Linked DNA regions of Schizosaccharomyces pombe. The protein of the gene in region 1 purifies or fractionates together with the protein of each later gene. This does not show direct contact. Each region holds a gene or a part of one and is shown in the gene's direction. Other genes may lie near its edges.

Region 1 (6,101 bases):
CAGACGGCCATTGGGTCTTAGACATTCCGGGCTTGCATGCATAGGAACAGTATGTGTTATCTTGGCATGTAGAAGCTGTTCCGTATTTACCATCATTCTTCTGAACACCAGACCATCCTCCAAAACCTAAGTAATCAAGGCGGACAACGCCATTTTGATCATCAGGAAAAGAGGAGCAGTCGTATACGCCGTCAGGAAAACCACCGTCTCTTTTTGAAAAAGCGGTAGTGTTTGTGACATTGACACCAACAGTTATATTGCTAGCATTCAAACCGGCATGATGGTGATGGTGATAGGGAGCATTACCAAGAGGCATAGCTGAAACCAAAGGAATGGCGGAAACCGCAAAACAAAGAAAGTTGTTAAAGAGCATTTTTAGATTTAAAAGATTTGACAGGAATCTAACGATTGACTTTATAAACGATAGGATATGCTAGTAACTTGATACTAGAAAATAAAAGAAAGATGGTAAAGAATATAATGGTCTTTACCTTTTGCGGTTCTGATTGTTTAATTTCAGCTCACGGCTTTTCCCTAAAAATCAGCTCAGCTTTATATACATTTCTTTTTTCAAGCACTTCACCATCTTTTGATTAAGAGCCGTGGCGTTTTGCCACTAATTAACCATGAAAGCCTGTAAGTTTTCAACGTTGATTTTTTCAGAAAATTTCTAACCATAAACCCGAAATAATTAGCGCCAAAACAGTCAACTATTGCGCTCCAATCATTGCTTGCCTTGCTATCGGCTTTGTATTCATTGGCTGATAACTTAATTAAAAATGAACTTAAAAGTCAGTTGATAAATTCAACCAATTAAATGCGTGAATTTGATCTACCCCAGGAAAATTTATACTGTCCCGGGGTCGCGGGGCGTTCAATCATTCATTTCAAAGCAAATTATTATTATTTCCAAGCCAAGTAATTTAATTTTTGTTTATCGCTTTAGCTTTCTTATCATAAGGAAGTTCTTGGTCCCCTGGGCCTTTTGCAATTGAATTGCGCGGTGTACGTAAGCCTAATGACATCCCTGTATACCTAACTTACAAATACGTTGGCTCGACTCAACGTTATATTGATTTTCTCCTAATACTATTAAATATATTTAATAATCTCTTGGGAAAGTAATCTGGTACATACAAATCATCCTAGATATAAGAGGCTCGGTGCATTTCGGCAAATGATGTTCTGCAGCTCATTAAATATGATATAATATTAATTAATTAATATCGTGTTTACACTCGGTTTATCGGTTTGCTATGCTAAGAACTTTTACGGATAACAATTTAATTATTTATCTTGGTAGCGTATTTGACGCTTCTTTGGATACTGAGATTAAGTCAAATTTTGAATGGAGAGAAGTCGAATAATAGCCCAATGCCTGCCGAAATTACCCGATGCATGTCATTGACGAGACAAAAAATTTCTTTCAACGGCCTAAGAAAATGATGTACTAGAAACGCCATCTTAGTCTGACATTTTACATTTTACGCTCATGCTCAAATTTTATTAATAAATTATTATATGTGTCCGTGTCATTTAGAATATGACAGGGGAGGGTAATCTCTTTCCCAACTTTATTGGCGTGTAATGAAATTCGCGAGCTACTATTGTGTCTGCATTCTTTAGCTGCAAAAACGCAACGGAAAAGACAATTTTATAATATGAATACTTCACGTGTTCATTGTTTTTGTCTTTAGAGAATTTATTTGAAAATGCTGAGGAGGTTAATATCTGGTATACAATTAAAACACTATCGCAAATAATGTAAAAAAAAATAATATTGAGGAGCCATAACTAAGTCATATAACTTTTCTTATTGAACTATTGTTATGTCGCGATTTAGTCGTATTTACCATAAACTATAAAAACTTTTCTTAATCAACAGTAAAATTGTTACTTATTCTGGTGTTACTTACACCTCCGCTTGCGTAGAGTGAATTTAAAATTCATTGCCAAGAGTTTATGGTCTTTACGATCTATCTCGCTGAACTTCAAAAAAACCAAGAAAAAGTATTGCTCTAATGCATTAAGACGATAACTATTTGCAAAATAATTTCATATACATGTTTCCCAACGGGCAGTTGTTTTAAGTAAATTCATCAGTATCGATTCTTGAACCAGGTTCTCTAACATCATAAAAGAACTTGACAAATACTTTTCTACTAAGTGTCTGTAAACTACTTGAAATGAATGAGAAGAAAAAAGATAGCCTATCTGTTTTAGATTCCAATGAATTTTTCGGTGAGACAACTATGGTATCACCGAGTATTGATGTTTCCTCTTCTCCCCGGCCAAATGTCGAGAGATTTTCTCCATGTTCCACTAAAAAAGATCTCCTGGAAGGAAATAATATAATGACCAGAATTCCCGAGGAGCTTAGTCGTGTTAGTCTACAATTTGATAGCAAGGGAAGTCAGCAATCGATGATATTTACTAACAATCGATGTTTATCTGATAAAGAAAATTTGGAAAACTTGCAAAATCTTTTATATCTACATTGTGATCTTAACCGGCCCCATTTGAGTTGTGAGCTGCCGTCAGAGCATCGCGAAAAGTGCCTTAAACGCCGTAACTCTAGTCTCAGCTCTAATTTGCATGCTAATAAGCGGTTTCTCTTCAATTCTCAAAGTGATGGGAATAAAAAGAATGAAACTTTTCCTTCTACTAACTACTCGAACGTTTTCTACCCAAACAACTGTGACAGTAAGGAAGTCGCTAGTGAAACAACATTCTCACTTGATGCACCAAATAATTCTGTTAATTACTCTTATTTTTCTCCTAATTTACTCGGCAACGATTCCAAAACCCGTCAATCTTTTCCCCCTCATTCATCTTCATCTTCACATAATTCTTTGCATGAACCTGTCATATATGATTTTTCTTCAGAAAATCCTAGCATTCATCCTTCTAATCATTTGAGCTCTCAAAAAAATGCTGTTTTGAAATTAGCACAATTAATTTCTTCCTTCGAAAAATTACCCGAAAGTGTTCGTCAATACTTACTTTTTCATCTTCTTTCTCGATGTGGAAAACATGCTGTTCAAAATATTCACAAAATTCTGCTTCCTATCTTTCAAAAGAACTTTTTAACTGGATTTCCGGCTGAGATTACAAATTTAGTGCTTACGCATTTAGATGCACCTTCATTGTGTGCAGTTTCGCAAGTTTCGCATCACTGGTATAAGTTGGTATCGTCCAACGAAGAACTTTGGAAAAGTCTCTTTTTAAAAGATGGTTTCTTTTGGGATTCAATTGATAGTAAAATCCGTACGATGTGTTTAGAACAATCTTTGTCAGCCTGTGCGATAATGAAGCGGGTCTATTTTAGACATTTTAATCTTCGTGAAAGATGGCTCCATGCCCCGGAGAAAATTAAGCGATGTTCATTCCCAATTCATGGAGTTCGTCTTATTACCAAACTTCAGTTTGATGATGACAAAATAATTGTTAGCACCTGCAGTCCTAGAATTAATATATATGACACGAAAACAGGTGTCCTGATACGCAGTTTAGAAGAGCATGAAGGTGATGTTTGGACTTTTGAATACGTTGGGGATACTTTGGTTACTGGCTCCACAGACAGGACAGTAAGAGTCTGGGACCTTAGAACCGGTGAATGTAAACAGGTGTTTTATGGACACACGTCAACAATCCGTTGTATCAAAATAGTTCAAGGCAATCAAAGTACTACTGATACTGATGATGTGGAAAAAGAAAACAGACCAGCTTCAAATGATGCTAATTCAATGCCTCCGTATATAATTTCAAGTTCAAGGGATTGTACGATCCGTTTATGGAGTCTTCCATGCCTTGACGATCCACCATTTGTTAATGTAAATGAAAATCCTGATCAGAATAATGACTTTACTTCAGCTACGACCAATCCGTTTTACATCCGAACATTACGTGGTCATACGGACTCGGTACGTGAAGTTGCTTGTCTTGGAGATTTGATTGTCAGTGCCAGTTATGATGGTACTCTTAGAGTATGGAAGGCATCTACTGGCGTTTGTTTACATGTTCTTCGGGGACACGTCGGGAGAGTATACAGTGTCACAATTAATCCTTCTCGTCAACAATGTATCAGCGCTGGTACGGATGCTAAAATTCGTATTTGGAACCTTGAGTCTGGAGAACTTCTACAGACCCTTCATGGTCATTCGAATTTGGTAAGTCAAGTTACATTTAACCAAAATATCTTGGTATCCGCTTCTGCTCCTCCTGATACATCGTTGAGAGTTTGGGATCTAAACACCGGAAGTTGTCGAGATATTTTAAAATGTCCTTTGGGACACATATTTTTTCAACACGACGAGAGCAAAGTTGTCAGTGGAAGCCATAGTACGCTACAGTTATGGGACATTCGTTCCGGAAAGTTAGTAAGAGACCTATTGACTGATTTGGATATAATCTGGCAAGTTGCTTATAATGAAAATGTATGTGTGGCTGCTGTTTTAAGAAATAACCGTTTTTGGATCGAGGTCCTAGAGTTTGGATCTACTAAATCTTCTTGAGCTTTTATAAGTTGAGATACTAGAAATCTATAAAAGATCTCGAAATTTTATTTTACGTTTCCAAACTGAAATAGATTCATGCTATTTATTCTGGAAACTCCTCTATCATATAATATTTGTCTAATTGTTTGTTGACTTTTAAATGTTTACTCATAATTTTCTTTTTTAAATATCTAATAAGAATGCAAAATAATATTTTTTTAAATGATCTATTCTACATTTATAAATTATTTAGTGTTAAATTCGTTTGTTGAGGCCAAAATTTTTTTACCAAAGGGATAAGCGAATTTCTTGAATCCTTAGCTTCAAATAGCGTCCATTCTACCCAAAAGCGTACTATATTTTTATAATTAGCAAACTATAGTAAATAAAAAAACAAACATTTTAGCTTTGTAAATGTAAAAAGACATTTAATTTAACAAAAGGCTTTTACATTACTTCATAAGCTACCAAATGTCTTCATCGTAAAACATGCTTTTCGCATTCCATTTATCTATGTAAGCCATTTTAGTGTAGTTTAAAGTGTTGGAAAACCACAGGTGGGACTGTAATATACGTACACTTAAGACGCGTTCGACGCGTTCACAAAATTACCATATATAGATATCAACTTATCAAATACCCTTTACTTCTAAGTATAAATGACAAATGAATTCATACAAAGAGGAAATTCTGCAAACTAAGTCTGACTTTACTCTTAAAAATTTAATTTTCTTCGCGATATCAACATTATGCTATAAGCGGTACGCAGACATATAATTTTTAAATTAAAATAGCTAACAGAAGGCAAGTGCTCTTTTCAATGAAAACTGCTACAAGAAAGTCAATTTCGAAATTGAACATTTTAAAGGAGCTGACTTTGATTGTCAATTGAAACCTACTGTGGTTTCTTTACAAGCTGGAGTGGACAAAGAAGCAGACAGTTTTTTGGAAATGATGGTGAGTGTTTAAAACTTATCTAAAGAAATAAACTAATATTTTAGAAAACTTATATTTTCTCACTTGTATCAATGAAAGTTCCATTTACTGTTTACCTGATTATTTCGTCACAATGCAAGTCAATATTAGAGGATGACGCGGTTGAAAAGGAGATATTTTCATTTACAATTAACCCTGGAAGTGAAGAGAAAATATGTTGTGAGTCTTTTGTTTGTAAATTTTTTAACAGACTTCATGAGAGTTTTATCAAGCTTATCAACGTTCAGAAAGGTTTGTAATAAAGTTATTTTTAAGTGGTAACGTAAAAACAGAGTGCAAAGACGAAGAAAAAGTCGTACAAATTATTACAAAAATGGAACGCTTTCAATTATCAAAAGGAGAAGCAACTAAAGCTGGCGTGTTTTTAAATACCGTAGAAACAAAAGATTGCATGTCTTGGCTCAATCGAGGAGAATTCAAAGATATTGTATCTTTTTATGAATCAAACAATGGGTAAGTAAATTAAAACAAATTTCAAGTTACTAATCTATAGTATTGCGATTTCACATTGTTCTCATGCATTTGTACCGATAAGTACAGAGAAGATCATGATTAATAAAGAATCATCATTATTTGATTCTCAAGAAAAAATTGATTCTCAGCTCGAAA
Region 2 (6,412 bases), on another chromosome or scaffold:
GGATATCTATTATATGTCTGAGAGCTGGGTCTAATAGAGAATCTATGGGTATAGCCACTAGCTCTTGTTCCGCCGACACCGGCTGCCAAGGCTGCACTGCTAAATGTAGCGTTGGAGGCATTGTTGTACAACAGACGAGTAGAGGAATCGGTGGGATTTGTGAAAGAAGAAGTACTGGTGTCTCTCGAAGCGTACATAGAACCAATCTCATTCACGTTACCATCCGAAGGGGTTTTGCGATTTAAATCGCCACGTACATTATACATGATAAATCCAACGAAACCAGTTAAATCCCAAGAAAGAAGAACAAAAATGAATGAAAAGAAAGCTTAGTTAAAGAAGATTTCGCGCTTAGACACGTAACCACAAAAAGTCTTCGCTGAGTTGTGACAGCAAATAGTCTTCAAAATACTTCCAGCAAGTAAAAAAAAAAAAAAAACGTTAAACAAAAAACAAAAAGAATCTAAAGGAAAAAGATGATGAGCCTCAATCTCGAGAACGAAAGCTAATTCACTTGAAAATTTTCCTTTTTCTTGTAAAGTGCTCGAAAGCACTTTTCGCGTAAACGCACAAAGTATTTAAAAAATAAATACAAAAGAATGAATACTTGTAGCGATTTTGGAACGCTGGTGTACCTCACCAAGGTGGAAATACGGAAAGGTAGTATATAGGACTAGGCAAACTCCAAATGGTTGTTTGCGGACAATAGCGAGGCAAAGTCGGCGGAAGTTTAAAAAGACTTGAATGAAAGAACAACTAGGTATTCTTTTTACAGATTAATAAAAGGAACAGGATTTTAAAATGGATAGTTAACCTTCCAAGTGTTGAAAAAAAAATTAAAAACAAAAGCCAAATTAATGACTTAAAAGTCCAAGTAACTTTTTTGAAATAAAGTTTGGTCAGTTCATAAAACAAGTATTTTCTTTTTTTTTTTTTTTTTTTGAGAAAAAAGAGGATTTGTTTACAGAAAAAAACAGGAAAGCAGAAAGACAGCGGTTTGAATAGCACAAGCTGAACTAGCTTATTTATAACGAAATTTTAAGTAAATACTGGAGACAAAGGTTAGTTATCCTCCCCCAATAAGATAACTGAGAAAAAGTCGATTAAGATAAAATTATGGAGAGAGAAATCAAAAGAAAGAAGAAAGGCCTAAAATAATAAGAAGATTGTATAATGACTATGGATTACTACTTTAAAATATATCTCTTAATATCACAGTATATAAACACTCTTGACTATTAGTGTGGAAATTGATGATGGATTGCAAAGAAAAGATGAGCGGATAGTTTCTAGAAAAAATTTTGGAATTCAAAAGACGAAGCAGTGATGTAAATAGCTTTTTTGCAGAGTTTCTTATGTTGAAATTGAATAATTACATAGAAACTTGAAGGTTCAAGGTTCATAAAAACGGAGAAAATGGGATATAATAGCAAATAAAAGAGAGAAACAGATATTATGTTTGTTTTTTAGAAAGAATCTCAACAAATTACAGATATTTTGATTGTATTGGAATACTAAACAAAAAAATATGTAAGTAAATAGTCAAGTGAGCAAAGTAGAACAATGCTGGCCACGCGTTAAAGGGGGAAAGGTGGTTAGCGAAGAATGGAATGTTTTCAACTCATTATTGCCATTCTACGAATATAAAAACACCTAAATTGTAAAAAAAAATAAAAAAAATAAAGCAAGCAAGTTTAAGTGATAAAGGAGGAAGCTAATTAGTTATGAAATTGAGAATAATTTTTGGTCTTATTCAGAATTAATAATAATTCGTCTGTTCCTAAGTGAATATAGAAAGCAGACTCCAAACGTGCGTATCCAAGCGCATTCTATTACTTTTATTTTAGTAGGTAAATGATAAAAAGTTCAATTTGAGGCCGCTTTTGATGCATCAACATTTTGCGACAATTTTACTTAGGAATTGGCTACCGTTAACGGCACTCAGAATTGTTTGAGGATGAGGCTCTGATGGTAAACAATAGATGGCGGTGCTCAAAAGATGGTATGAAGAGGTAATTTGTAGCGCGTTTGAGAAAGAGAAGGAAAAGTATTTCTGTTTTACAACATCTATGAAAGAGCATCCTGTTATGTTGGCCACATTGAAAATGTCAACCTATTTGAGGTCCAAATTAAACCCTTTTCAACATTTGTAAATATTTCATGGGTTTGAGATTTTCATTTAGTACAATATTACTATACACTTGTCAGAGATATCTTTTACACCATATGTGTATTTGCATCGAGCACTCAATATCCAGCGGATCGCATACATCATTCTTTTGGCAGAACAATAACTCAAATTTAAAGGATTTCTTTGGCATATTCATGTATATGTTGATAAATATTGGCTTTATGTCTTTGTTTTCATAATAATAAATGCGTTAATGAAGAATTTTTTAATATAATAATTATTTACTTAAAAAAAAATTAGATATTAAATATAATCTTATAAAGCACTTTTATAATGAGCTTTTGCTACGTACACCTGGCTACCTCTTGTACCTTCGTTCACTTCGTCGTTACCTGTAGGTTCTTGAAAGGATCAGTGCTACTATTTACTACGTTTACTCTATCTGCCATCTAAGAAAGAGCAATTGTGTGCTGAATAAAATATATTTTACTTGTTATACATTTATAACCATTTTGGTTAATGACTACTTTGAATACCAACGATAAAGACCTCCCGATTGTTAAAAAATATGATTCATTGAATGGAACGTATGTTACATTGTAACTGATTGACGATTGCTGATCTATATGCAGTTGGGACTTTTTAAAAACAGGTGTGTCCCAAATATTTGAAAGGCTAGATGAAGGAATGACTATCACTAAGTATATGGAGCTTTATACGTAAGTTAGTCCAATATTTTGAGATCTGAATACTAGTATATTAGTTATCAGATATTTCATGGCACCTATATTTATATACTTACATACTTTATTTTTAGAGCAATCCATAACTACTGTGCTGATGCGTCCAAAACTATAACGGTGGACAATTTCAACGATCAAAGTACGTAAAAAATAGATAAAAATTTATATTTTGACTCAGAATTTGTCAAAAAGAAGAACTACATATATTTTCTTATGATTATTTTCACTGGATTCTAACTGTATGTGCTAGCTGCAAACGTTTTAGGCGAAGCCCTTTACAATAATTTGGTTCTATATCTGGAAGAGTATTTGGCCCGTCTGCGAAAGGTGAGTTTAAATATCGGTTTTTTATTTATAATTCTACGACAAAGATTTCATTGCACCTCGAGTGTTCAGCAGTTTTCTTTAATTTCTAAACATTTTCTCTGGACATTTTAAAGAGTGCTAGCATAAGCATCTGGTCTTTTATTATGATTAAGGAATAAATTGCATTATGTGGTAATTTTTCTCGTGCTAATTGGCGCTTTAGGAATGCATTTCGCAAACGAATCATGAAGAGCAACTCGCTGCGTATGCCAAGTATTGGACGCGATTTACAACATCTGCCCGTTTTATCAACCATCTTTTTGGATATTTAAATAGATATTGGGTTAAACTGAAGAACAGATTTACTGAGACACTCGTGTACGACATTTACACACTTTGTCTTGTGTCATGGCATCATCACGTTTTTTCCCACATTCGCGATAGCCTACTTCAAAATTTGTTATACATGTTCACCAAAAAAAGATTATATGAACCTACTGATATGAAATATGTGGAAGTTTGTGTGGATTCTATCACTTCATTGAGCTTTGATAAAACCGATATGACAAAGCCTAACTTGAGCTCATACAAAACTTTTTTCGAAACAAACTTTATTGAAAATACAAAAAACTTTTATGCAAAGGAGTCTTCCGAATACTTGGCTTCCCATTCTATTACGGATTACTTAAAAAAGGCAGAAATAAGACTAGCAGAGGAGGAAGAGCTTGTGAGATTATATTTGCATGAATCCACATTGAAGCCGCTTTTAGAAGCGACTGAAGATGTACTAATTGCACAACATGAAGAAGTTTTGCACAACGACTTTGCACGCATGCTCGACCAAAACTGCAGTGAGGATATCATTCGCATGTACCGATTGATGTCTCGAACACCTAATGGGTTGCAGCCTTTACGCCAGACATTTGAGGAGTTTGTCAAGAGATCAGGCTTTGCTGCGGTTGCCAAAATTGTTCCCCAGGTCGGTGGAGAAGCCGATGTGGATCCTAAAGAGTATATGGAAATGTTACTTTCCACGTATAAAGCTTCCAAAGAACTTGTTAACACCGCATTTCATGGGGATACTGATTTTACAAAGTCATTGGATACAGCCTTTAGAGAACTTGTCAATCGAAATGTTGTTTGCCAGCGCTCTTCCTCTCGCTCCCCAGAGTTGCTTGCTAAATACGCCGACAGTATTTTGCGAAAAAGCAACAAGAATGTTGACATTGATGATGTTGAAGACTGTTTATCGTCGATTATCATTATTTTTCGTTATGTCGAAGACAAGGATGTTTTTCAAAACTTTTATACTAAGCTTTTAGCCAAGCGACTTGTGAATGGTACCTCTAATTCCCAGGATGCTGAATCTAGCATGCTATCTAAGTTAAAGGAAGTCTGCGGTTTTGAATATACTAGTAAGCTACAGCGTATGTTTCAAGACATCTCCTTGTCTCAAGAGATTACCGAAGCGTTTTGGCAACTCCCTCAGTCACGTGCTGGAAATATAGATTTCTCTGCTCTTGTACTTGGTACATCGTTTTGGCCTCTATCTCCCAACAATGTGAACTTTCATCTGCCAGAGGAATTAGTTCCTTTGTATGAAGGATTCCAAAACTATTACTATAGCTGCCATAACGGAAGGAAGTTAAGCTGGTTGTTCCATCTCTCTAAAGGAGAAATAAAGGCACGCATTAACCCTCAAACTAATGTCACTTATGTGTTTCAAGTTTCTACATATCAAATGGGTGTTTTGCTTTTGTACAACCATCGCGATTCTTATACATATGAGGAGCTGGCAAAAATAACTGGGTTAAGTACAGATTTCTTGACAGGGATTCTGAACATATTCCTAAAAGCAAAGGTGCTTCTCCTTGGCGACAATGACAAGCTTGGTGATCCTAATAGCACATATAAGATCAATGAAAATTTTAGGATGAAAAAGATACGGGTACAGTTAAATCTCCCAATTAGATCTGAGCAAAAGCAGGAATCTCTGGAGACTCATAAAACTATAGAAGAAGATCGAAAGTTACTGCTTCAATCCGCTATCGTCCGTATCATGAAGGCTCGCCGAACATTGAAACATGTAGTGTTAGTGAAAGAGACTATTGATCAAATTAAAAGCAGATTTACTCCTAAAGTGTCTGATATTAAGCAATGTATAGATATGTTAATCGAAAAAGAGTACCTGGAACGCCAAGGCCGCGATGAATACATTTACCTTGCTTGAGAGAAACATCTCCGCGAAATGCTCCAAAAAAAATGATATACTTTTCGAGTGTTATATATGTAATTAATCACGCAATACGAATTTTCTTTTTTCTTTTGTTTACATTCTTGTCTGCTAGTGATCTTTAATCCATTGAAACTAAGCTTTTAATAACGTAGGAAAGTCACCACTCCATTGAAGAAATGTGTAGCTTAGCTACATGCAAGCTATGCAACTTTTTTTTACTACTAGTTACTGGATAGCAACAACAAACTTCTATTATCCCATCATTTTACGTGGATAAGTCGTACAATGAAAAAGAAAAGAAAACAGTTATCGACCACATACATGCACCATTTCACGAAGTACAGATGCTTGAAATTGTGAAAGGATGTCAAAGATATGTTTTATATAATACATTTATTGTCAATTGTCGTCTTCGTCTTCCTCTGCAAATCGCTTGATTCTGTTAAAAAAGACATATATTGATTATTCAGCACGAAGAACGAAATGGTGCTTACAAATTAAAAAAAATTAATTGATCAGACTAATTAAGGCAATTTTAACGTTTTTATTGATTTACTACTTCCAGGTGTTGCTGGAGTGTTCATGGATGAAATGGATGATTCCGGTACATTCCGGTGCCAACACCATAGTATGACATAAATGAGTAAACATCGCGGTTCGCTCATTCTTCTTCAACACACCATCTTCCTTGACATATCGTTCTGAAAAAAAATACTAGGAAGAGAATCGTAGCATAATGGCGACTTTATTTCATCTTATAGATGTACATGGTAATGAATATCAAAATGTGCAAGACCACAGCCTTCAAATGGCCTTAGAAGAGCTGAATCAACAAATCGAAGTGATTCAACGCCAAGAAGAACAATTGGCTTTGCGAAAGAAGGCAATTGAGGATGCAAGGCAAGAAGTGCTCCAGCAAATTCAACATCGAAAATTCCGTCAATACTTGCATGAACGGGAACAAGAGGCTCGTTTGCAAGAGTATTATTTGGAGCA
Region 3 (4,315 bases), on another chromosome or scaffold:
AATGTATATGAATATTAAGTCAGTAGAATGCTTGCATCATTTATTACACAAAGTTGAAATGATTAACTCCAGAGATTTCGGGTACTTGTTAAAAAGCATCTTAAGGTGATTAGTTCCGTCATGGTTTTTATAAATTCCTTTACCTTCTATCTCGAAGTAATCTTATAGGAGCGATTACACATCAACTCATATTAAAAATTTAACTTTGATTACTGTAACTTGCCTATTTTTTACATTCGTAGTGTAATCATAATTACCGTCCAAATATTCAAGTAAAAAGCGGCGTTGTAGTCTGATGGAGATGCCCGTTATACAAATTGAGTAAAGCACTCATTTAAGACTGTTTTGCTATTTGGAACCTTTTTATTTTTTTTTTATTTTTTTTATTTGTTCTCTTGTGTGACGTGAGTTAGTAGTTAATCGCTGCGATTATAAAAGAAATTGATTTTTAATACACAAAGTATATCTTTAATTTATCTGAGCCGCGCTTTTTTTTATTTATTTAAAATTTCGTATCCTTGCATACAGGCTATATTTATTTACTTATTCAATTTTATTTTGTTTGCTCTTTTGGCATTTGACGGGGATATATATTTTAGAGAATTGAGTATTTTTACAAAAAAAAAAAAGACAAAATTAATGACAGAGCGATGTAAATAAGTAAAAGTACATTAGCATTTTTTCCTCAAATTCAAGATCCGTAGGCTATGATCTCTTCATGTTGCAAAATGTTTGTAGACAGGCTCCAAACTTTTAAAAAACTACTTATTCCAAAACATGCTTGCCTCAACGAAGTATCGCTACCGTTCTCTTTCGTTTTACTAACAAGTTCAATTTGTTTCTTGTTTTTGTATTAGTCGATTTTTAATATGCACAGGCTTGCATAAAGATAGTTAATTATAAATTTCATTTGTTTGATTTTAAGCTTAGCATTTCATTCAGCTCGACTTCAAGCTGACAATCCCCAATGCAAATATCCTTGCGTCTCGTTAGGCAGGTTACATTTCCAATAGTTTGAACGTAGCTTCCGCGTTATTATACTTTGCCAGTTTTAGTGCATTGTATAGCTACACAGTATTTTGGTTTTAAACTTAGCGAGATATCTCAAAACCCCTTGGCATGCTCTTAGCACGGTACTTAGCTGTAGATCCTTTTAAAATTTGCTAACAGATGTAAACTTGAAAACCAGATTTTTCGGCTTAATATATTCCATCTATCATTTAAATCTCTTTGATGATAACTTTCAAAAATTGAAGGAAATCCGATGTTGACGATGAAATCACTGTAGATACGAATGTTTACTCAACGAAATTACCATACAATTTGATGCCGATCATTTTAAAGACATTTTTAGCAAAATATAAGCAGTCAAACTAGTAGAAATTTTTACAAAAAAAAGCCATATACGAGGTTTGTTTAGTACAAATGACTATACGATCGCAATAATATAGTAATCAAATGAGCCACAGGAGGCAGCAGCTGTGTATAATCGGAAATTAAAATCCTAGTAAAGATACACCCGATCTATAGAAATGATATTCTTGTGTTCATTATTTTTCAAGTTTTGTAAACTATTATTAATTTTGCATACTAGCAAAGACCATTTACAACAAATAGTGCAACCTACTTTTGAAAACTTTTGTAATCAGAAGACGAATATGCTGGACTAAAATAAACATTAACTGCATCTTGTTCTACGATTGTTATATTGAGATGGTTTATTTATTAATTGTATGGATAAAGCTTTTTTCAATCAGTCTTGAATTTCAGAGTCAATACAAGTTAAAAATAAATCAATTTTGGAATTAACTTCCCTTGTATATTTCACTTCCAAGGTATTTATATTTGGATGAAATACAATAATAAAAAATAGCTCTATTACTTCAGAAAAATTCGCTGAATGTGTTCAATTTGATATGCTAGAGAAGGTACAATATTATAGATAAATAGGGCTATTTACTAATTTTGGTTGAAACGTTTGTAGGAAACCGTCTTCAGTACTTCGATATTATATACAAAACTTATTCAATAGATGTCTAACGAGCACACATAATACAAATAATATCTAAGAAACTTGTATTGTCATCATGTAACATAGAATTAAAAGTTTACACATTTAAACAAACTGAGTAATTTAATGTAGCTAAATAGATATAGTGCTAAACACTCATGAAACAGCAGATGAATAATCATCCTTCATTTTTTGAGTACGCATTTTGCGATTGAAAGATCCATGATCCATTATTTATTATATTAAATACTTGTGTTTTAGCAAAATTTATTACATTACTCCAAAAATTATCTTATGTTTGAGTATTGCTTAGCGAAGCTGCAATTTTCAACCCCCTTTATCACACCGCTTAAACATCTCATCTTAAAACGAAGTAGCGGCTTTGCTCTATTTTACTCATCACAATGGAAGATGAAATGCAAATAGACAAGAAGGAGGTGGAAATTGAACAAAAACCTCCTCGATTTGAAATTAAAAAGGTTCGTCATTATTTTTATGATCATGTTCTTCATGTGTATCAAATTTGCCATAAAGCAAAGTAAACTGTGAAAATTAATACCCAAAGATATATTTGCTATTTTAAAATAAGCATACACTTAAGTACTAGTTTACTCTCTTTGCTTTTTTTATGAGTTCTTCTGATTCATATTGCTTACCTTCAATTTAGTGGAATGCTGTAGCATTATGGCAATGGGACATTGTTGTAGATAACTGTGCTATCTGCAGAAATCATATTATGGACTTATGTATTGAGTGTCAAGCTAACACCGATTCTGCTGCTGCTCAAGAGTGCACAGTGGCATGGGGAACTTGTAATGTAAGTTTTAATTCGATTTCTTTCGTATTCTTAGCTCAGGACTGTTTTTAACAAATACAAAAGCATGCATTTCACTTTCACTGCATCTCAAGATGGTTAAACACTAGGAATGTTTGTCCTTTGGACAATCGTGAATGGGAGTTCCAACGTTATGGTAGGGTATATTAAGACGAGCCTACTTTACTAACTTTATCTCAGGTCATTAATAACATTTATTAAGTACTTACTTTTTTGTTGGTAAAAATATTTCAATGGAGCAGAGCGTTTTATTAATGAAATGACATGAATCAATTAAAATTTCCTAAAATCATGACTACTTGTGGCTAGTTTAAGTTTCCATGTGACTTTGAATTGTTATTTATATTTATTTACTCCAATTACTCAGATAGTGGACGAATATATCAATTTATTTTATTGCTTGTCAAATAAAATTTCCTACAGACAGTTTTTAACTACACATCATATAAATTAAGACATTATATCACTACTTTGTATACACTTGAAGAATTAGAACATTACTTAAATCATCAAAAGAAATGGCATACTTCTAAAGTGCTATTGTTAAAATTGAATAGGCATACAGACATTATGCTGCATATCGCATGACAGAATGCGAATCATTGCTTTCGAGAAGAATGTCAGTGGTGAGATACAAAAGCTCAGTAGTGCACGGATTTTCTATACTTGCCAATCAATTCACAAATTCAGTTAACTTTTAAATAAGAACAAACAGCTTTATGAAAATTACCATCTGATGTTTAAAACCTTCAGTTTATCAGACTTGGTGTTTTCGTTAATAGTGGGTAGGCATAAAAAGATTCGTGGTACTTTGACTCTTTATTCGCCTAATACTAATGTTTCTGTCGCCTTCGTCACTTCCCACTATAGAGAGACCTACATTCATCTGACTTTTTAAGTGATACTAAAAAGTCGGATACTTTTTATATAAAGACTGTAAAAAGCATCCCTATGTGATTGAATGTGTATATATCCATCTCTTTAAAGGTTTGATAGGGTAGGGTCATTTCAGCATGAAAGACGGTTATAAAATTATTGGGTTTATCTCATCTGGAACTTATGGAAAGGTTTATAAAGCGGTTTCATCTAATTCGAATGATAAACGACTGTTTGCAATTAAAAAGTTCAAAGCTGAGTCAAAGCAAGTAAGCTCGAATGCTCAACAAACCGGCGTTTCTCAAAGTGCTATTCGTGAAATGATGCTGTGTAGAGAAATTCAGCATGAAAATATAGTTAGCTTGGTTCAAGTTTTACTCAAAGATGGCACAATTAGCATGGTTTTTGAATACGCCGAACACGATCTGTTGCAAATTATTCATTTCCATAGCCGATCTAGAACAAGACAAATTCCACCATCAATTTTAAAAAGTATTCTATGGCAGATCATTAATGGTGTAGCATACCTACATGAAAACTGGATTATGCATCGAGATTTGAAACCAGCAAACATAATGATTACAGCTACAGGC

Evidence for each region. Proteins that work in one complex are often made in the same cells at the same time.
Region 2: the proteins of pop1 (region 1) and cul1 purify together in Schizosaccharomyces pombe (affinity purification with western blotting; 3 studies listed by BioGRID, with this or other methods). This does not show direct contact.
Region 3: the proteins of pop1 (region 1) and rbx1 purify together in Schizosaccharomyces pombe (affinity purification with western blotting; one study listed by BioGRID). This does not show direct contact.

The regions. Positions count from the first base shown.
Region 1 is NC_003423.3:3,467,157-3,473,257, forward strand, and holds pop1 (cullin 1 adaptor protein Pop1), read left to right. Parts: upstream 1-1,971; 5' UTR 1,972-2,186; coding exon 2,187-4,514; 3' UTR 4,515-4,729; downstream 4,730-6,101. Other genes in the region: beta-glucosidase Psu2, read right to left, coding at 1-373; synaptonemal complex-associated protein hop1, read left to right, coding at 5,163-5,257, 5,306-5,453, 5,498-5,666, 5,705-5,945, 5,986-6,101.
Region 2 is NC_003424.3:3,609,474-3,615,885, forward strand, and holds cul1 (cullin 1), read left to right. Parts: upstream 1-2,583; 5' UTR 2,584-2,650; coding exon 2,651-2,718; intron 2,719-2,763; coding exon 2,764-2,850; intron 2,851-2,948; coding exon 2,949-3,013; intron 3,014-3,124; coding exon 3,125-3,201; exon of another isoform or gene 3,202-3,403; coding exon 3,404-5,410; downstream 5,411-6,412. Other genes in the region: ghs2 (glucosidase), read right to left, coding at 1-266; protein slt1, read left to right, coding at 6,153-6,412. UniProt on the Schizosaccharomyces pombe protein: Core component of multiple cullin-RING-based SCF (SKP1-CUL1-F-box protein) E3 ubiquitin-protein ligase complexes, which mediate the ubiquitination of target proteins.
Region 3 is NC_003424.3:1,572,995-1,577,309, forward strand, and holds rbx1 (SCF complex, Cul4-RING and CLRC ubiquitin ligase ligase E3 subunit Rbx1), read left to right. Parts: upstream 1-2,350; 5' UTR 2,351-2,415; coding exon 2,416-2,490; exon of another isoform or gene 2,491-2,678; coding exon 2,679-2,828; exon of another isoform or gene 2,829-2,891; coding exon 2,892-2,982; exon of another isoform or gene 2,983-3,006; intron 3,007-3,026; coding exon 3,027-3,034; 3' UTR 3,035-3,313; downstream 3,314-4,315. Other genes in the region: mediator complex cyclin-dependent protein kinase subunit Srb10, read left to right, coding at 3,860-4,315. UniProt on the Schizosaccharomyces pombe protein: Component of E3 ubiquitin ligase SCF complexes, which mediate the ubiquitination and subsequent proteasomal degradation of target proteins.